Linked DNA regions of Lytechinus pictus. The protein of the gene in region 1 binds, or shares a complex with, the protein of each later gene. Links are inferred from orthologs where the notes say so. Each region holds a gene or a part of one and is shown on either strand. Other genes may lie near its edges.

The links.
Region 2: the proteins of nuclear RNA export factor 1-like (region 1) and NTF2-related export protein 2-like are in contact, whole or in part, in a crystal structure (PDB 6IHJ), measured with the Drosophila melanogaster proteins. The link is inferred for Lytechinus pictus from reciprocal best matches to the Drosophila melanogaster genes sbr and Nxt1. Residues at the interface, in NP_524660.1 of Drosophila melanogaster: Leu359, Leu360, Glu361, Thr362, Lys363, Ala364, Ser365, Tyr366, Met404, Leu405, Ser406, Ile407, Ser408, Met409, Pro410, Gln414, Arg426, Asn427, Leu428, Arg429, Arg438, Thr439, Leu442, Tyr444, Thr467, Val468, Asp469, Thr471, Ile472, Met477; in NP_611833.1 of Drosophila melanogaster: Met1, Leu5, Val9, Glu10, Ala13, Asp17, Arg21, Thr43, Ser45, Trp46, Asn47, Gly48, Asn49, Gly50, Ile52, Tyr60, Leu64, Leu71, Asn72, Thr73, Leu74, Asp75, Ala76, Gln77, Pro78, Ile79, Val80, Asp81, Leu91, Met93.

What each region holds. Positions count from the first base shown.
Region 1 is NC_087251.1:3,279,100-3,290,074, forward strand, and holds the start of nuclear RNA export factor 1-like, read right to left. Parts: upstream 5,531-10,975; 5' UTR 5,516-5,530; coding exon 5,386-5,515; intron 570-5,385; coding exon 68-569; intron 1-67. UniProt on the Drosophila melanogaster protein: Mediates the export of the majority of mRNAs from the nucleus to the cytoplasm. In ovarian follicle cells, plays a role in transposable element silencing regulation by enabling the nuclear export of flamenco (flam) transcripts and subsequent piRNA biogenesis.
Region 2 is NC_087249.1:38,558,075-38,569,219, reverse strand, and holds the start of NTF2-related export protein 2-like, read right to left. Parts: upstream 5,258-11,145; 5' UTR 5,138-5,257; coding exon 5,117-5,137; intron 1-5,116.

The sequences.
Region 1 (10,975 bases):
TAAACACAGTAATTAAGAGACAGAGGTATATTTTAGTTTCAAAATATTTAAAATAAATAGAACTTACAATCTCGAATTTGCTTTTGGATTGTCTCCATCATCCATCGATACATCATCATCTTCTAATCTTGACCTTGGATGAACTTGGTCTGAATCCCTATTATTCATTCCTCCTCCAGCTCCATCCCCTCGATGACCTCCTCCTCCTCCTCCTCCTCTCCTTTTATCTCTTCTACCACCTCCACGACCTCCTCTCCATTTTCCTCCACCACCACTTCCTCCACCTCCACTGTTACCACTTGTTTGTCCACCACCTCTACCCCTTCCCCTTCCTCTATAACCACCATCTCTGTCATTATATCTGTCATAGTCATTGCGTCCTTGTCCTCTGAAGTTATCATTTCGGTCATATCTGTCACTCTGATCCCAGTCATTTCTGTTTCCTCCTCCTCGTCCCCCGCCTCTTCCTCCTCCTCCTCCTCCTCCTCCTCCTCTTCCTCCACCTCCCCCTCCTCTTCCTCCACCTCGCCAGTGGCCACTTGGTGTTTCTCGAGTGCGATCATCATGTCCTGCAAGTATTCATTGAAAACAAGTGATAAAAAGGTCAGAGCTAATTCATGATCATATTCCAAACAATGTTTCAATTCACCAAGTCTTTGGAATTTTTTTTCCGGAGAAAAGAAACACCCCAAAACATGAACTAGTTCAAAATCAATTACTCTACAGCTTATTCTTGGATTATCCCTTGGCACAAAATACATACCGTAAGAATGAAAAATTATGGTTAGTCTCTGCCATCTCAACATAATCTACCATAAAAAATGATTAAAAACTCCTCCAAACAGACTAATTTCTGCTGTCTAAGTTAACCCGCTGCATAGTTCGGAAATAAGACACAGATTCATCACTTAATTTTAATGACAAAATTTTGCTTTTTGGAGGGTGTTTTGGAGTTTGGGCTTTTCTGTGCATTGGACTGTCATGTGAGTAGATTTTCTTGTGTTCGGTGTATGTCGTATATTTGACCATGTGACTGCAATCCACTCTTGAGTAAACATATCAAAAAGTCTTCAGCAGAGTGGGAAATCCATGCAGCACTAAATCCACCCCCTGTACCAACCACACATTCCTAGCCAGGAGGCTTCTTGAGAGTAAAAATCATTTACTAACGTATGTTTACTCTCAATGAAGCCAGGGATTCCTTCTTATTCATCTGCGTGTACTGCCAAAAAACCTGAAACTTTCGCCCCCGAGATTTCTACTTTCCTAGTTCTAAAACATCTAGCCATAAATCATGTACATGGGATAAAACTTTATTTCCGACATTTCTACGCTCTCGGTTTTATTTTTAAACAAGAATTCATTTTAAAAATGAGAAAAATATTGTGAAAAGACGGAAGAGACTTGCCCGATGTTTACGCCGCCATCTTGTTTCCTATTGTACTTCCCCAACGTTGAATTCTTGTTTAAAAATAAAACCGAGAGCGTAGAAATGTCGGAAATGAAGTTTTATCCCATGTAAGCTACGCACTTTGTTTACAAACGATAAAAACTATGCCAATTTTAATATTCTAACAAATCATCTTTCACAAATTTGTGTTAAATATTGTAAAGATTCATAACCAAAAAGAAAATATCACAAAACTCACTAATACGAAAATCCCGCTGTGTTTTCCGAACACCTCTTGATTTCGCCGCCCGACATAGAAGGGGTCCTTAAGCTACGCACTCAATTTATCATGCAAAGAAAAATAATTTCCTGTACCTAAACTTCTAAATAATGTTCATATTCTTATAGAAAAATATGAAATCAAAGTGAATATAACTCAAAAATTCCAAACAGTTGCTGGTTTTCTCTGTATTTAGCGATTTATTGCAGCCTCTGTAGAAAAAAAGTGAAAGGAATCGTCCGTCACACTGCAGAGTGCGCATTTTGCAATTGAAATTGCATGCGCATTGGAGTGGTGCGTAGCTTTAGGACCCCCTACCATACATGATTTATGGCTAGATGTTTTAGAAGGAAAGTAGAAATCTCAGGGGCGAAAGTTTCAGGTTTTTTGGCGGTACATGCAGATGAATAGGAAGGAATCCCTGGCTTCATTGAGAGTAAGCATACGTTAGTAAATGATTTTTACTCTCAAGAAGCCTCCTGGCTACACATTCCCTAGCCGGTTAATAGTTTCGGTTGATAGTTTTAAGAAAAGTTTAAGCAAAATTCAAATGTCTACTTTCATCCGGGGGGGGGGGGGGGGGGGGCACATCATCATGAATTCAAAATCAAATTCATCACTAGCCACACATGCCTGCAGCAATCATATCCCAATTGAGGAGTTTGTCCGCAGTAACAGGAAGAAGCAGAAGAAGCCCTCCATTTTACATACCGTAAGAGCACTAGTATTCAACCCGTTTGGAGAGTTTCCTCAAATATATAGACAAGGCTCGACATTAGCGGTGGCCCGGTGGCCCAGGGCCACCAAAAATTCACCTCGGGCAACCATTATTGATAAAATGTTAAGTTTTGGTGGCCCGAATCGGGCAACCAATAATTTTCAAAGTAGCGCAATTTTTCTCCCAATTTTGCACGCATTTATCAACTTTCTACAGCTCAAGTTGCAAGCCAGTTCGTCATGCGCCCTTTTTGTTGATCTACACACAAATACACACACACAAAGTTTGCATATTAGGCCTACAGCTACAGCATAGAGTAGCTATTATCCAGCCAGACGCGCCGGCCGGCTGGCATGAGCTTTGCATGAAGCCACTGCATACAGCTGTGCTCTAGATCTAGCTCAGCCTATTCAGACTCGGGGAGCTGCGATAAAAAATGTTGCTGCTGAGAAATCTTCCACAGAACTTTGAAAATCTAAGTCAAAGTCACATTTTACACCAATGAAATGCAATTCTACAGTCTATATTACGAAAATCTGGTGTACCCTGATTATTTGCAAGTATTAAGAAGAGGAATTATGACCTCTCTTTTGACTAAAAAAGACCGATTTCCACATGAATTAATACACATAAAAACACATAGGCAAGTACATCACAGTCCCACGTGTGCATTTGTATGTATGTTGATACTTGGTTTCTTTCGAAGCTGTGTATTTTCTAGCCAAAAACAAACAGACAGTTTCTTTCTTTCTTGTTTATAAATGACTTCTTAAACCACTCTTGAGAAAGTAAATACTTTGGGAAGGCATTTCATTGATATGAAATGTGATTTTTTTTCCAACATTTTGGCAAACATAGGGAAGGACTTTTCTCACACTTTTTTCCAGATATAATTTTTGCCGTTTTCTTATTTTTTTTCCTTTGATTTTTTTTGACAGTGGTTAAACCATTTATACCCCTTCCCAGTGAATATGCCTGATTAAAAAATATGTTTCTACTGAAAATAAAATAATACAAACTAAAGGATATACAAATAAAAATGTGCCATTCCCAAAAAGTGAAAATTATTTGCTTGGCTTTTAATTATATTCCAGTCAGAATAGACTGTTGCCACAGCTGTTAAAAATATATGTAATGGCTTCTTAATTTTCTCCTTTTCCCCATTTTTTTATTAACTTTGTTTTATTAATTTTTCTTTCATTTTCTTTTCTTTTTTCTCTCTAATTTTTTTCTTTTCTTTTTTTCCCTGTTCTTTGTTTTTTTCTTTCTATGATTTTCTTTCTTTTTATTTTATTTCACTAATTTCTTTTATTTTTGTTTTCTTTTTGTAATATACTTTTTGAAAATTATTTTCGTTTGTTTCCCCCTTTTATTCATTGTTTTAATTTTGCAGCATATTTTTCTGTGATTTTCTCCTTCTATAATATGCTGCAAAAGAGAAAACAGAAATAAACTGGATTTGGGGCATGCATAATCTAGGTTTTAGGATTCAAAGAGGAAGGAAGGAAAAACCATTGTTTTGTACATCTATCTGAATTTGCTATGCACTATTTATTTACTTTACCATTATCTCTATACAGAGATTTTTAAAAAAGTCCACACAACCTGCGAACAATACAATTCATTTATTCTCTTTCAATCATTTCATTTTTACAACGATAGAAACATTTATCAATTAGCAAAGTAAAATAACAGCAAACAAGGTTTACATACAAGATGTATAAAGTAAAAGTAACATAGTGGTATTGGCTGCAGAATTAATATTTCAGAAGTTTGTTTTATTCATTTTTAATGTTTTTCTTTATATTTTTCGGGCCACCAAACTTTAATATCGGGCCACCAAAAAAAATTATTTGATGGTTTTGGTGGCCCAAACGGGCCACCACCAAAAAAAGTTAATGTGGAGCCTTGATATAGAAATTTGGAATTTACCTTAATTTCAGACCTGTCTTACTTCCAAGAGCAAATGCTGGTTATTCTTTTTGCGTTATTTTTTTCTTCAACCCGTCGACTGTGTGCGCGGGCGATCGAATTATACGGCGATGGTTTTTGGCACTAGTATTCAATCCGTCAGCACTAGTATTCAACCTAGCGATTATAAGATGGCCCTGTCTCTCAATCTGCCCTTGTCCCATCTGCCTATGGACTAGACCATTTGAGATGAGACCAAGAAACGGAATTAGTCAAAGCCAGAGACTTGCATAGATCTATCTAGTTTAGCAATTTAAACCATTTTGAAATTCGCTTATCATCACTAGGTTGAATACTAGTGCAATTCAGTGCAAAAGTGCTAAATATTTGGGGGAATTTGTCAAAATCTTTGAATTATGCCGGGTTGAATACTACTAACTAGTGCCCTTACGGTACTAATTGAAAATATTGTGGAATTGTGATTACACATACACTGATACAGCACACACTGACACCGGTAATCGTATCTGAGATTTTCGGCACACTTACTCAGAAGAATATAAGGAACTTTATCAACAGAAAATGTTTGTGAAATAAAAAGAAATTCATGAATTCATGTTAAATTTTAACTTTAAAAAATAGTTAGGCGAGCAGAGGCCACCCCCCCCCCCCCCCCTTTCATAATCAATGGCAATGCCAATGGTCTCTCACATTCAAAAGCGGTAGGATGGGGGGGTCGGGTGTCCGGACACTTTATCTTTTTGACGCCTTCTTTTTTGTCTTTGTATTACACTAAAAATATAAATTCAATACTTGTAATCATCTTCTGTTTTGTTCTTTATAATATTTCCTAACGTTTTGTACTAAAAATTGATGAAACTTCGCTTGTATTTTTTTCCAAATGACTTTCTAAAATTGATCGTCCGGACACACAACCTGTCCGGACAAACAACAACTGGGTACCGGAACCGTACGGTACAAAAACTACAAACTTTTCAACATTCACACGCAGTATGATTGAGAAAACCGGCAAATATTTTCTTACACTTATCATGCAAAACAGAAAGAACATCTTTTTATATTTACCGTAGTAATTTCTACCACCTCCTTTAGTAGATTTTGTCACTGTGAAATCTCCATGACGCTGAAAACTCGACATGATGTTCCGTTTTCCGACTTGTATTTCGGCCTCGCCGCCAGACTCGTCATATGGCATACCGGTATGGGCGCGCGCACGTACAATTTACGTACGTACAGGGTCGACGTCTCGTACACCGTTGAAGTCGTCGATTTTAGTGGTCTTGCGCCACCTCACGTCTGACAAGTACAAGGCCTCGTCTCCAGCGTTGAGAAAGGGATTAAAACATATATATAACAAAGCATTTTTGGAAAATTTTAAAAAGCCATCCCATAGTCAAAACGGAAAACAGATTACACTTTCTATGGCACTACAATTCTTCGCAGCATTGGGAGGAGGAGGGGGCGGGGGGGCTTTTTTGGAGCTCCCTTTTCGGCCCAGCCTTTTGTTTTTTTACATAATTATAAGGTTCAATCTGGCAGGATCTTCTGTCCAGCTCCTGGTGGTATATAGTGGCATCTGAAAGGTTGACGGGGGAGGGACCAATTATCAACTTTACTTAGGCCCTACATGCATTACGCCACCAAAAATAATCCTCTTTTCTGAATTGTAATACAAAATTGTAAAACAAAAAAGGAATTACTATGCATACCGTATACAATGGCCCAACTACCATAGAATGCCATTCACCCTGGGCCTATATATCCCTGGAATATAAAAGTTCTCTTGATTGGTGACATAAACCCGGGACATAAACAAACATTTCCTTGAAAAGGGCACTTATAACAAATCTCCTTCCATAACAACTTTTTTGATATAGTGGAATTACTGTGATTGCCATATTGTACCATAATTAATTTTTGTATCTCTATGCTCTCTTCAAATATCCTATATCCGGGTCCTATATGCAGCAATCCATGCTGAAACAGCCAATGGAATTAAAGCCTATTGATAAACAGCACTTTTAAGTTTATTATTTATAATATTCAGACCTGGGCCCCGTCTAAACTAAAGAGGTGCAATTTATCTGATCAACCTTAACTGTATGGAAATCCATCAATGTCATATTTTTTCTACAAGAAATTTGCACAATAAAGCCTTTGTAAACAAAAAGAAGCATGCAGAACTTTTTCAAGAAAGCAATGAATGTATGAATATACAACATGTAGGAAATATTTTGAACAAAGATGCATTTTAGATGTTGACGTTGTTGCTGGCCTTCCATAGTTGCATTGATCAGATCAATATAGCAACTCTTTGTGAGACAGGAGGACCCTGATACTTTACCCTGAAATAACAGAAAAAATGGGGAATGTTTTCAGAAATTTATCACTTTCCAGGAGGAAGGAGTCACCCCATGCTAAGCTTCCATATCCTATCCAATCTCAAATCACTTATTTCTCTTTATCTATCTCCTTTACCTATTCTATCATGATCATGTACCTAATTTAATTGAAGTAAACACAACAAATTTGTATTTTATAAAATACATCATATTTTTCAAGCTGGCTTAAAATGGAAGTAATGAATCTCTCATGTATTTAATCAATAAATATGCAACAGGTCCTGTCTAATGGTAGGTATCTTAGGTCAAATATGTATGTACTTGTATCACTAACAGGCGCGTAGCCAGGGGGGCGGTGGGGGCGGTCGCCCCCCCCAAAACGTCCCCAAAAAGAAGGAAAAAAAGAGAGGAGAAAAGGAAAAGGGAAGGGAGGAAAGGGAAAAAAGGTAGCTTTGTGTTTTTTTTTTCTTTTTATTCTTTTTTTTTTCTCAAAAGAGAAACTCCTTCACTCTTGCTCTAAATTTATGGTTATGAATTTTGCTTCCGCGCTGCGCGCGGTTAAATGAAAATATTGAAGATCTCCAATTGTTTCCCCCACCCTTTCTCTAACCCTGTTTTTCTACCTCAGCTATATGTGTTTATTGCCAGTTAAAGTTCAAATGTATACATTAGGGCATGGAATTAGAGTAAGGTCAGGCCGAAGTATATGAAGTTATCTTTTTTTTAAATTGATCGCGCAACTTCTGGTCGGGTCGGCTCCGGGCGGGTAAAATCTTTATATCAATTTCTGCCGTCACCTCCATAAAGTCAACTTCTCCCGCTTTTCAGCTCATTACTAAACAACCATAATTTTTGGGGCAAACAGGTTCCTAATCCAAAAAGAGGAAGGTATAAAATTCGTATCGTATAAGGGTATTAAATAAAAAAGTACAATATTTTTTATCAAATTCTATTCAACTTCATGTCATTTCCCTGTACATTCATCTCCTGTCCTGTTTTTCGCCCTCAGTTTGAAATTTCGAATGACTCTTAAGTTTATTTATAATTCAAAATGAAGCGCTTCAGGATAAGTCAAAGAAATTAGGCATCCTTTTTATATAATTTCAATAAATCACAGAAGTTTCAACTTTTTGCGCACTATTTTCCTTTAAATGAAGTTCAATAATCTTAGAAAATTAATTGAATTAGAGCCGATGGGGTATTGGAGGTATCTGCATTATTTTGATGAAACATCCGCCCTTTGAAATTTCAGAGTTTCGTTGCTCTGCGCGGGGAGGAATTTCTTCCTCCATGCATATACACTTCTTCTCCTCTGTTTTGCGAGTTAAAGATATGCACTGTCGCTAAATTGTTTGTAATCAAATCTGATCTTTCCAAGGGAAGTATTCAATATATGTTTGAGAATATCCTTTTCTCGGGACCCTTTTCATGGCAAAAAATTGATAAAACGCTTTAGCTGCCGCACTTCGCGCGGGGTTATTATCATTTTAATTTCCTCCATTGTATTCCTTTTTTGTGCGTTCACAATCTTTTTTTAAAACAAGGTTCATGAAAACCAGGTTCAAAATCACAATATAGTCAACTGAATTCGAGCTGATATAGATACTAGAGACAAGAGAGACAACTCCTTTTCATTTTAATTTATGAAACACCAAAAGCTTCGCGCGGGAGGGGGAAACTCCCCCTCCCTGCACCCACCCCCTAGGGAACGCGCTCTGTAAGCGTTGGCACGCTTCGCGTGCATTTACCACCCCCTCCAAAATGAAATCCTGGCTACGCGGTTGATCACTAAGTAATCTCTTTCATATCTTCCTCTTCCAGGCTCTCATCCATGTCTTTCCCCCTCCCTTTCATTTGTGTTCCACTTTGTCTCCTCCTATGCTATCCTGTTAAACCATGTGGTTTATCAAATTGCCTGTTATCACTATACTGTACCTGTTTTAGGTTACTGAAGACTTGTATTGTATGACCTTTTCTATTGCTAGATCAAGTCCCCGTCTTACAAAGAGTTACGATTGATCCAATCAATCGTAACTCTATGGAGATCCATCAGTGTCATAATTTTTTTACAGGAAATTTGCAAACTGTCCTTTGTAAACAAAGGAGAACACACCAAATTGTCAAGAAATCAATGAATTTATGGATGCATTCATATCTAGAATTTTTTTTTGAATAATCGTGCATTTTATATGTTGACTTTGCTGGCTTTCCATATTTACGATTGATCGGATCAATCGCAACTCTTTGTAAGACGGGCCCCAGGATTAGTTTCTCCATTATCACTGACAGGGAACGTGGGTACATGTCTCTATTTCATCATAAATATAGATGACTTATATAAATAATGTAGCTAATTGAAATTATATACAAGTGGAAAATAATTTTGCTAAAAATCCTGTCATAAAAATATAAAATAACAAAAATTTAGTTAACTCACCTTTTTGCAAATAACATTACTTCTTAAAGGAGAATGAAACTCTTGGAGCAAGTTAGCTTTTGTGAAAGCAGAAAAATCAAAGAATAAGATCAACAAAAGTTTGAGTAAAATAGGACTAGCAATAGAAGAGTTGTGAGCATTTGAATGTCGAGATCACTAATGCTATGGAGATCCTCCTATTGGCAATGCGACCAAGATCTATGATGTCACAGATGAACAACTCTCCCCTTTTGGACACTGAAAATATACCCCAAAACATCTCTTTTTGCTCATTCTAATCATATGACAAACGATTCATCAATGATATAATGTTGTGAAACCTCTGTACTTGTCCTCTCATAAAAAGAACACCTCACCTTGTGATAGACTCTATAAAAGTGAGAATATAAGTGAAATAAGTACTAAAGTAATGAGGGAGTTGTACGTGTGACATCACAGATCTTGGTCGCATTGCCAATTGGAGGATCTACATGGCATTAGTGATCTCAATATTCAAATGCTCATAACTTTCTTATTATTCATTCAATCTTCCTCAAACTTTCAACAATATGTTTCTTTGATTTTTCTCTTTGATATGGATTCAGCTGGTTTCAAGGGTTTCATTCTCCTCTAATGAATGTGCTTTGCTTAAATTAATTTGACAGGATATTTTTTTCACTCATTGACAAATTTTTATCAGTTGTGTGAAAATGAGATTTATCCATTAAAATGACTCATGAATGTACAAAAGCCAAAAGAATGAGGTCAAGGTTACACAATGTGAATAAAGCAAAACATTGTTATTTACTCAAGGTTCCACACTAACTTTTCTCGGTGGCCCGATCAGTCAACCAAAATCATCAATTTCATATTTTTGGTGACTCGTAAAGCAAATTAAGTGGCCCTAAAAACAATAGAAAATATTACAATTTATCAAAACTTTGGTAGCCCAACCAGGCCACCAAGTATTGACTTTTACAGAATTTTGGTGGCCCAACTCTCATTTTTGGTTGCCCTAGGCAACAGCTAATGTCAAGCCCTGATTTACTGTTATTTTGGCAGAAAACAAAATGTTGAATATTGACAATTTTGGGCTCTTATGTGTGCTCAAGACTTGCTTATGCATGACTTGACAGATCACTATCATTTCACATAGAAGTTAAACGAGGAAGACTCCTTTCAAATATTTTGATAAAAACTTTATGCACTTTTGAAAAAGGGGTGTTATTTTTTCAACGTAAAACAGAGTTAAAATGAAATTGCCATGAATCAATAGGATACACCAAGACCAGCATACTTTTTTCTTCACCTTTCTTTATTGTAAAACTACCACTTACACACAATTTGTTCATGTATGAAGGAAATATAGATGACAGGCCAGTTGATTTACTTGCTTTACTTACAGTTGGAAACTATATATTCTTTTGCTTGAATGGATATTTAATATAATACTTGTGGATATTTGTCTGCATATTTGAAAGACTCCACTTTCTATTATATCATTATGCAGCAGAGAAGTTCATAGAGGTAGTGAAGAATGAGAGGTGGGTAAAAATTCACCCCCTAAATCAATTTACACACATTTCAAATATGACCTGACCAAACTTGCATACATGAATGGTATATACTTAAACATCAGCATTAAATCATTTGGTCCTTTGTGAGTACATTTTATCTGGAATTGGTCATACATGAAGTACCAAGGGGAGTCAAAATATAACTGCCATGGGTGCAAGTTCTCTATTAGTCTAGTTCTAGACTCTTTTTTTATTATTTGTAATTAGCCATATAGCACCAACTATAAATGTAAAGCCAACTGGTGGTGTGTGTAGTTGACAATACATGCTATAGCTAATGACAAATAATAATAATAATAAAGAATTCAATACTATATAGA
Region 2 (11,145 bases), on another chromosome or scaffold:
TTTTATAATGTGACATTTTTTTTAAATTTATGTACAAATCGGGTTTCCGCCGAATGTTATACTAGATCTAACGTTACTGCTAATACGTTTGCTATACATACGGGCCAACAACTCTTCAGTCTATGTATGGGTGAATGTAACCCAGGGAGCCCAGGGGTTTACCGTGTATTTGACCATACTCACGGGACTAGGGTGATTTATGGTCTAAATATTTCTCCAAATGAATTGTGAAAACAGAAAGTATACAATTACCACGATTATATGGATGAAGGTCTAACGAGTGGCAGTTTCCTGACATCTGGGCACAGACTGGAACCACTCCTAGTACCAATGAGGTCCAAACATTACATGTATGGACCTCATAGGCATATCAGTAGTATTTTGGGTTAGAAATCTTTGAGAACAGGATATTTCTATATTATATCACAAGTAGAAGCTATAATTTGTTTCTTTTATTTAAATTTAAATTTTAGTGTGTAAATGCATTGTTAGCAACAACAAAAAATGAAAGAAATTAAGGGAAACTTACATTTTGACGACTTTTTCTTGATTTTCTTGGCAGTTGCTCTTCACTTCTGACTCGCGATCGGAGCTGATATGCAGATCACGTGGTACGCGTTCTCCTCAGGTGATCGGTTGGTTATTCTTTTCGCCAGACGTTGATAGTTATATATTTCATAACGCTAGCATTCATCGTAAATTTAGGTGAAAGAGATTGAAGTTAAACAGCGCAAGCTTTAATTTTTTTTTTAAATAACGTTTAATTGATTGCACAAGTTTCGCCTCGGACATGTAGGATCATTTGGTCCAATAATGGCGTAACGCGTAACTACGGGGGGGGGGGGGGGAGGGGTGTCCCTACCACTACCGTCCACAAGCCAGCAATTACCTTTTTTTCTCTCTTTTTTAAAACCAAAATACTCCCCCCCCCCCAGAAAAAAAGGAACCAGGGTTAAAGAGAAAGAGAATAATGATGGAATAAAATATAATTTATTTTTTCAGCTTTTACTGTTTTATTCGACTTATAATCAAATATTAAATGGGGCTTAGAACAGCCTTTTTAAAAGTCAATTAATAAAAAATATTCCTCCTCGGGATTCGAGCTTTCATGAAATATCAATCTTTTTCATAAATACGAAAATATTTTAAATGTCCAAATTTTGTATTGGTATATAAAGCTTTAGCTCATGCATTGCGCCCATCTTATTTTAATGTTGAGATACAAATTTATGCTTCTAATGAATTCCTAAAAACACTAAATTCTCAGATCCTTTCGCAATCGAATGATTCGATTAAGCTAATGAATGATTATTATGTTTCATGAATTGTTTAAAAGGTGTCTCTCTATCAGTTTTGAATATTTAAAAAAATGCCAGCTCGTGCTTTTTGCTCGCAATATTTTGATTAGTAAGAAGTTCTTGTAAATGCGAGTTTGATAGATAAGGGGGGGGGGTCCCTCAGCTACTTGTCCTCGCTTATTCCCAATTTTTTTATTATGCTCGTGTTGTGAGTGTTTCAAAGTCTTTTCTTATTTTTTTACCCTTTTTTATTGTCTCGGAGCTTCCCTCTATTTCTTTTAACTATGATGTAGCCCTTTTTACTTGTTTCAATTCTTTTATGTTCTCATTTCATTGAAAACATAATTATTAAACTGACGTAGAAGACTTTATTACGAAATTTTGATATTGGTTTTTCTTGTTTGTTTGGCTTTCTTTTTTTCTTCTCCTCATCCTTCTTTTTCTTCTTACTTTTTTCCATTTCCTTATTTTCTCTGTTATTTCAATTCATGAGGCATCCGCCAACTTATATACAACATCAAACACATTGGTGGTGTGCCCCTCTGAAAAAGGAGGAAAATATGAAGGGAAAAAAAGAACTGGAAGGGGAAAAAATAAGAAAAAAAGAAAGACGATGATGGCAATGGTTATGATGATGAAAATTATCTTGGTGAAGATGATGGTGGTGGTGATGGTGGCGGTGATGATGATGATGGTGGTAGTGGTGATGAAGATGAGAATGAAGTTGGTGATGATGATGATGACTAGATGTAATTTTGTCTTTGAAAAAATTAAGTAGTGCAAAGGTGAATTCATTTAAAGTTTATTATGAAAATAGCAGAAAAAAATTATTTGAAAAATTGGTATGCGTTCGAGGAAAATCCATCCCCCACCCAAAAAAAAAATTAAAGGTGAGATTAAAAAAAAAATTATTTGTGATGGCGTAGGCCTATGCGAGCAGCTTTAGGATATAATTATGGTAAAAAAAAGTAAATGAAATGTCAAGAAATACATGATAATGACTTTTATTGTACATTCAGTATTTCAATAGATAACTTCATACCCCTACTCGTTCCAAAAAGAAAAAAGTGGGTCATTACGGACCATTAAAAATGGGAAATTTTGGCATTTTATATTACATAGAATATAGAGCAACTGCTTGTTTATGGCGTCACAAATCAAGCATTCGAAATTCTATTAACTCCAATTTAAAAAAAATAATAACACCTTCACCGATATTTTGAAATTATTTTTCTTATTATCACAATCTTTTTATCAAGGTGAAATTCCCCTTTTTTATAATTTACAAAACAGTATCAGCATGATCAGTGTGAAGCGGTAAAGCATTCACCTGATAAGTATAGACCTATCTATAATTCATGCGGCACACAGCGCGTGCGGCAATGTTTAATAATATATTGCTGTGAATAGAATGAATGTCATTAAAAACATAATCTCACAGATCAAATAATGCCAGCTCGACGCTCGAGCTGAAAAAATATATTTTGTGCCCTGATAATTTTTAACCCTAACCTAACCCAATTTCTAAGTATTTTTTATCATAAACAGGATAACTATAGACAATTGATTGAAAACTTGATATTCTTTTGCGAAAATGAATATGAAGGACAACTTTTAAGAACACAGCCCGGAACACAGTTTTAGAGCGTTAGAGCGCGATTTATACAGATTTATACCTACAACCGCTAAATCCTCATGAAGCAGTTGGAACATTTCCCGATTCAATCAGCTTAATAATTTTTGCAACAGGCGCCAGTCCAACAAACAGACAAACATTTGCCCAAACGGACAACATCTCAACCTCTGCTCATTTCTTTTTGCATGGGCACATAAAATCTCTTTTCTCACTATTTTCTCCTCCCTTTTCTTTTCCATTAATTTATCTTTCGTTCACTTTATTTCTGTCCTCTTTTCCCTTCTATTTTTTTCTCGTCTCACCGATTTTCCTCATCCCTCATCCCCCAGCCCCCGACGCCCGTGCAGATTCGCAAACAATATCAAGAGTAGTGTTAGGCAAGGGCGGAAATCTCTCCCCAAAGGTAGGGGGACTAGGGGCTGGAAAATTTGACAAGCAAAAAAAAAAAAAAAAAAGGTTTATCACCCCAATTAAAAGAAGGTCATCTTGACCAAAAGAAATTTGACAAGCAAACAAGCCCCCCCCCCTAAAAAAAAAGGGCATCCCAAAAGTAAGATCGTCTCTTCCAAAATACATGTTTTATTTCGATTTTTGAATTAAAAGACCAAAAATAGTAGAGGGGCATTTCATAATGTGCCCCTGACTATTTTGGGTGAGGGGGACATGTCCCCCTGGGATTTGCGCCCATGTGGGTGGGGGTGATGCGCCTCTCTTTCGGAATCATCATGGAAGAGTGTAAATACGAGTTCGCTGTGATTTCGATCTCATACCTATAAAAAAAAATAGAACAGCTACGCCTTGAACACAGGCAAAAATGCCTAACGATTTCTCCGCGGCATTAACAACTCTCGTAAGGGGCGCTCCATTTATAAATAAAGTTGCATATGTAGCTGTCTACCGCGACAGGGCTAGTCGCAGAATTGTAGCCAGAAGCGTGGGAAATTGCCAGCAAATTCAAGAAAAGAACCGGTGAGTACCGATTTAACAGTACAAATTTATTTAGTAACATGTATTGAATCATAAGAATATTTATTTTTTCGTAAAACAAAGCTTAGTTGTAAGCTAGGGCGGCCCAAATGCGCGTGAGTGGAGTCCCAGTTTATTAACACGGGTAAGTATTGGGGTGTCGCCTAGAGTGACTGGAACCTCAAAAAAACGAAAAGTTCTCTCCTAGCTCCTTCTACCCCCGTCTCAATCGGCCATTTTTGTTAAAAATCGTAACAAAATGGCCGATCGAGACTGGGGTAAAAGGAGAGAACTTTTCGTTTTTTGAGGTTCCAGTCTGTGCCCAGATGTCAGGAAACTGCCACTCGTTAGACCTTCATCCATATAATCGTGGTAATTGTATACTTTCTGTTTTCACAATTCATTTGGAGAAATATTTAGACCATAAATCACCCTAGTCCCGTGAGTATGGTCAAATACACAGTTAGACAGCTGGCAGCCGTCTGTTTCGAGGAGTTTTTTTAAATTTTTTGTTTTTTTTATTCTCCTCGTACACAGACGGCTCGCTAGCGTGCAGCCACCATTAGGGGACTTGCAATGCGAAATCCCCCCGTCGGGGCTCTTCAATTTTTGTCTTTATTTAATGAATAAAAATTTTGAAAATTAACGCGACCAAAATGCAAATTGATATTCCCTCTTGTCTTGGCATTAATTGCCCAAAAACGGAGAAAAATCAAGTTAAAAGGAACAAAAACAGTGATTTACCTCGGCTGTCGCGCAAATTCACTTCCCCGTTTTATCCGATCTTAAGTACATAACATATGGCCATTGAGTCCCCTGTACAGATCGCGCTAGAACTTAGAAGTAGAAGTTACTTCGGTCTCTGTATTTGGTGAGTGAAGCCAACGGAGTTCAGCTGAACAACCAACATAACAGAGACCGAAGCTTTTTTTGGTCTAATACACAGTAAGCCCCTGGGCTCCCGCCCGCGGGTTAGGGTGGATGGAGCCAACGCAGTTCAGCGGAACAACCAAAATACAGATTACAGAGACTGAAGCTTTTGCCGAGTTGGTCTAGGTGCGGGTGCGCCGTTTCCAGCATAAATTTCAATACATGGGACAATATATGATTGCCATCTAAATACTTCTGGGTGAAAACCTCATACTTATTGAACTTCAATCGTCGAATTCATGCAACAAATTATAGTTTTTTTTTTTAGATCACTAGCTGTACTTACTGATGTGGAAGATAAAGCCATTATTATGATGTCATAAAATGAAATCAAAGCCAAATTCTGTTCCGAAGACTCCCCAGGATATTCGGCGATAAATAACAGTTCCGTCCCCCGGTATAGTGTCGGCGAAACGTCCGACCGCAAATGAATAAAAAAATCAAAATGTGAAACGTTTTAATAAGAGACCCTCTGCCATTATTAAGCTACTTACAAGAAGAGTGGTTTAATGAGCCGTAAATTGTGAGAGGAACAGGCATGACAGAAGCTAGAAGGAGCAAGTGTAACCTTAAAGAAGGAAACATGCTAGCAAAATTTTGATCTTTGCTTTACAAAAAAATATTTTTTGGATAGATTTTAAAATACTCAGAAAATAATATATTATTTTACTTGTTCCCATTCCTTTTCTCCTTATTTTCTTGGTCGTAAAACTTTTTTTACGGGGAGGAGGCATGCTCCCCATCTTTTTGCGAGTGCTACTAAATTGATAAATGAAAAAGTTAAAAGAAAAAAATGCATGATTATACCATGGGATTTGCATATTCAGTTTTTTTCCATTGATCTTCTTTTTAGAATTCCGCATCATTCCTAACCACATTACTTTTTCCTTAAATAAATTTCAAAAGTTTCCGTGGTGTTCAGGTCAACTAGGCACATTCTTCCATGGTGGAATAAATTGTTAAACTTTAAATGAAACGAGTTCGTACAACATTTCATATGTTTAGCTGATTTTAAAATATTATAATAAACAGATCTGGTGCCACCTTGATCTTACTCTGAACTTTGAACATAACTCCATATACTTTCAATATTATATACTTTGCATCAATGATCAATGATGCAACAATACTCTGCCCTCACACTCTTCAAAACAAAGTCCACAATTTAAAGAAAATTGTCAAAAATGGCACATTTCAGAAAATATTTAGCTTTGACAAGATAGAGGTCCTTGTGGAACCAGTTTGTGGGATACTAATTTTACTCTCAATATTTTGTGTTTTGCATCAGTGTCTGAAATTTGAAGTCAATTAAACTTCCCGCATTCATCTTCACAAACATTCACCAAAAAACATGGGCGGAAATCCCAGGGGGGACGTGTCCCCCCTACCCAAAATAGTAGGGGGGACAATATCAAATGTCCCCCCTACTATTTTTGGTCTTTTATGATGGAAAGAAAGAAATTGAAATAAAACATGTATTTGGACGAGATGACCTTACTTATTGGGTGATAACCTTTTTTTTTTTTTGCTTGTCAAACAAATTTATTTTGGTCGATTACATTTGGGGCGATAACCTTTTTTTTTTTTTGCTTGTAAAATTTTCCAGCCCCTGGTCCCCCCTACCTTTTTGGAGACAGATTTCCGCCTTTGCCAACAAATGAAGACTGAAGACACGAGACTCAGGAGAGATATTGCAAACAAGGACATCAGTCCCCAACAGGCAGCCAATTACACACACACAAAAAAAAAGAAATCATGTGTACAAAGTGCACCCAATGAAAAAAATTATGATCTTCATGTCTTAGAAGACAAAATTGTAATTTTGTTCGCCGTCTCATATGCAGCAATTTCCCTAGTGGAAGTCAAAAGCACCTGCACTGAAATTCATTAGTTGACAATGCATTATTTACTATCACACACACACACACAAAAAAAACAGAATCCAACAAAAACCATCAAATGTTGATTCATTGACTTAATTAAGTGTTCACATTTCACACAATACGAATACAACTTCGAGAGTTTTTTCATATAATCATTTAATAATAAAACATCTCATTTCAACATTGTACATTTGGGTTTCTTTTAGAAAACTCACTGCCTACCCTTCATTTACATACATGTACATAATGAACAAATATAGAAAGGAATGTCAAAAGGCAGAGATTCAGTGAAAAAAAGAAAAAGAATTCCTTGGTCCATAATTCTGAACTCTTGGCCGGATAACTTAATTACAAGCCAGAAGTTGTGCTAAAGCCAAAAATTTGCATTTGATTTTTAGGTTTATGGGGTCCTTTCTAAGGCAAACTCAAAGAAAAGTATTAAACTTATTATTTCCATACAATCTATAGAGGATATTAGTGGCTATCCATGGTTAAACCAGAATTGGGACCTCCCAAATCCCTGGTTAGACATTGATCTAGACGGACCAGGGCTCCGTAACACAAATAGCGATCAATCGCTAAATGAACTGACCAATCAATATCAATGCTACACGCGCATTTGGTTTAAAATACTGACCAGGGACCAATCAGGTCGGTTCTTTCATGTTTGCAATCCATCCCAAACCTTTGTGTTACAGAGCCCTGATCAGGGTTTGAATTCAACCAAAGTCCAGAATATGGACCATAAAGCCATATTCTTGTCCTCTACCACAAAACAGTAGAGTCAATTGAATGTAGGGATCTCAGTGGTTGGAACTTTTGGAACCGTCATCTTTTCAAACTAGCAGAATCTAAAGGCATAATGGGTGATTTCAAGTTAAGTGTTGACCTTTTGGTGTTAATGTTCGGTCCATTTTCACATGAGCATAGCACCAAATGTAAAATTATATTGGTCCTGAAAAGTCACTCACTAGTCACTAGGTGTTGCGCAAGTAATATTGTGATCTGTATCATTTTTGTAATTAAACTCAGAATAGGTTTGGGAGCTAATGAAGGCAACATAATCCAAATTGTGCTTCCAACACTAACACCAACACCGGACTAAAAACTGTTCAATATGTGTATATTCTATTCCAATGTACAAGGGATATTGGATAGTGCATGTTATTACAACTTTACAATGAATGAAAGGGGAAAAATCTGAATTTTATTTGTTCAGCACGTACATATTCTTTTTATCAAAGGATTTCTTGAATGTTTTTAATCTGCCAACGTCTGTTTCCATTTGTGTTGTAACATGTGCCCTTGACCTAAAATTATTGAAATTTAAGGCATACAGTTGGCATATCTGGGATGATCCGCGGACTTACATTATGATTTGTTTACGGATAAAATAGGATTTATAATTATTATCATACATAAAAGAATTCAACTGGAAAATCTTTCAAATGAAACCTGATTTTCTGTTCTGTATTATCCTACAGAATCGATTCAAATAATATTTTCCATCCTTCGCATACTACAAGTGCATAAACAGCTACACATATACGGTATTCATACACAAACTCAATGGCAGTGAATGATTTATCTTAGGGTTAGGGTAAAAATATAAAAGCAAACATGACAATAACAATGGAGTACATGCATTATTTGACGAGAAAATATTCTGCTATATTCTTGTAATGTTCATTACATTATCGAGGGATACTTTGTCTGCTTCCAAGTCTGTATTGCTGGTGCGTTTCCATGGTTATTTGAGGCTTGTATCGACTAAAAATGTGATTTATAAAGCAGAATGGAATGTACCTTTGTAATTTACTACTAATCCTTCCTGCAAATGAAAAAAAAATCTTCCAAATTACACGTACATCAAAACAAATTCTGTGTTTTGACTATCTCTATTTCTATCCATCAAATAAACAAAACATTCTGAAGTGAGACCAATGGCAATCTTCATCACCCTATGAGTGCGATCTTTTATTTCTAAATTATGTGGGTCAAAAAACCCTTTGCACCTTTTGTTTTTGTCTGTTACCAAGTAAATGGGATGAGTATCAACTCCAGTGAAAGTAATCAGAAATATATATCTAACCCACTAATTCCCAACTCCCAAGTATTGATGAAAGAAAAATATGTAGCAAAATATAAAATAAACAAAATTTACACAAATTTACAAGAGTAATGTCGTGCATAAAAATAGCATCTTTAAAAAAAATGATCATGGAATATTTACAAATGAGTTCAATGAAATGAGTTTGGTTTATCAAATTAACGGAACATTGAAAATCTTCACACAAAATTCAAAAATATATATCAATTTTTGTTGTTTACCTTTTATCGACAAAGGTCCTAGGAATTTTTCTACATTACTGTGAATTTACCCCCGAAGTATGTACATAAAAATTTCAGTGTCAAATCCATAAAGCCATAATGATGATTCATGTAAAATGGTCCCCTTCACACAAGCATAATAAACCAGACTGTTACACTATCTTGGAGTCAAATCAAATTTACGTTGCATAAAGAACATTTTTTTTAATCTGGCAAACTGTACAAGGGGAAAACAAGTAAAACCTTGTGTGAGGTAGAACTGATACATACAGTTCTTTTGGCAAGAAACTGGTTTGTCTTGTTCCCTTTTCTAACATATCTAATGCCCAAATCTAATCAAATCAAATCAATAAGTTATTGCCACTACATTCTTTATGGGTTAATTATCCCTTGAAATCCGTGCTCCACAATCAATTGACAATTTCCAGTAGAGTTATGGAGCATGTACTACATGTACATGTATATAGATTTTAACCCTATAAGGCCCAAGGGGGGGGGGATTCCATACTCCCCTCAATATTTTTGTGCAATAATCTTGCAACGTGAAAAGCAATCACCACATTGTTTCATAACTATTTGTACTTTCCAGTCTCACACAGAGTCTCTACACAAAATTAGCCACTGCACTTTACAATTAATCTGAGCGCACCTTTGTTTTCACTTTCATGCGTACATGTAAGTTCAGACATGGATGACATGGGTGCATTGGGCCAAGATCTTAAAGAGGGGAAGAAGACTCGGGGGGGGGGGGGGGCTCTGGCTGTGAAATGGGTCTAAATAGGCCCTAATAGACTAAGAGTCAGACTTTTTAGGATTAACAGTATTGCAACAAGAATAGGAAGAAATATAAATAAAAAAACATGGACTGCTTATAATGTTCAAATATGGTACACGAACAGATCACTAAATAGATAAGTTGTTGTGCAAGGGGGAAAAAACTCAGTCAACCTAACAGAAACTGATAGTCTTACAGTTACATTTTAAATCTTATCATAGCACCTTAATACAGATAGTATTCTTAAAAATGAAAACGTTGTGAGAATAATGGCCGAGAGTTAAATATATTCAAATTGCTCTAACCATAACCCATATTCTTTGCATTTCTAACAAATGATGTCATTTGATACGTTGATACTAAAATCCCCTATAGAAATTACATGTACACCCCAAAAGTTAATCTCTGCAGGGTTAATTGAAAAAAAATATATATATATCTTCAAAATATGTCAAGATATACAGTCAGTAAAGGTGATGTACCAGAAAAAAAATCAACTTTAAGGCAAAGTTTGAGGTAAAGAAAACTTATGATTCGTCTCACTCTAAGCCGTATCACACATCTTCATACACTCTCTACATTGTAATTATGATATAAATATAATTGAAACAGTGACTGCAAGTCTCCAGAAAAAGACATGTTAATTTTTTACAATTTGTTACATGAGTTTCAATGGTTGTGTATCAATTTTCAGATTTACTACAGTTAATTAAATGTTACTTTTACCACAAGTAGGGGTAATGGGATGATTATATCAAGTGGTCATCAGATATTGACAGAGTTTGCAGTTCAAGCTATCTAATATTGAGCACAGCAAATAATTTCCTGGTATTGCATCACAATTTGCTCCACATAATTTTATGACAGCTACACAAAATTTCACTTGTGTAGCATTTTTTTGTACAGAAAGCTTTTCTCTAACAACCACAAATGCTAATAAGATTTAAGAATTGAAATTATTCCCTGATATATGGGGTACGGTTTTAAAATCTGTTCCACAATGTAAGGAATTTCATCAAGAACTCATACAGAGCAAGATGATCAGTATTGCTATAACATGTAATAAGGAAGGTCATTTCCCATGATGTTACCCTCTAAAGATTCTATGACTGTTACACGTGCAATCTCACTTTCTCGGCACAATCATACAACATACATGTACAAAAAACATCTGTTCATATAAAATGCATAAAATGGGGTTTGGGAATTCATTCAAATACTGAAAATTATTCAAAAATTCCAAAAATGGACATTTTCTCAAATCTGAGTGACAGATGTTTCTGGAAGATCAAGAACACTCCTCATAGTCAGTCTCGTCACCCGTGC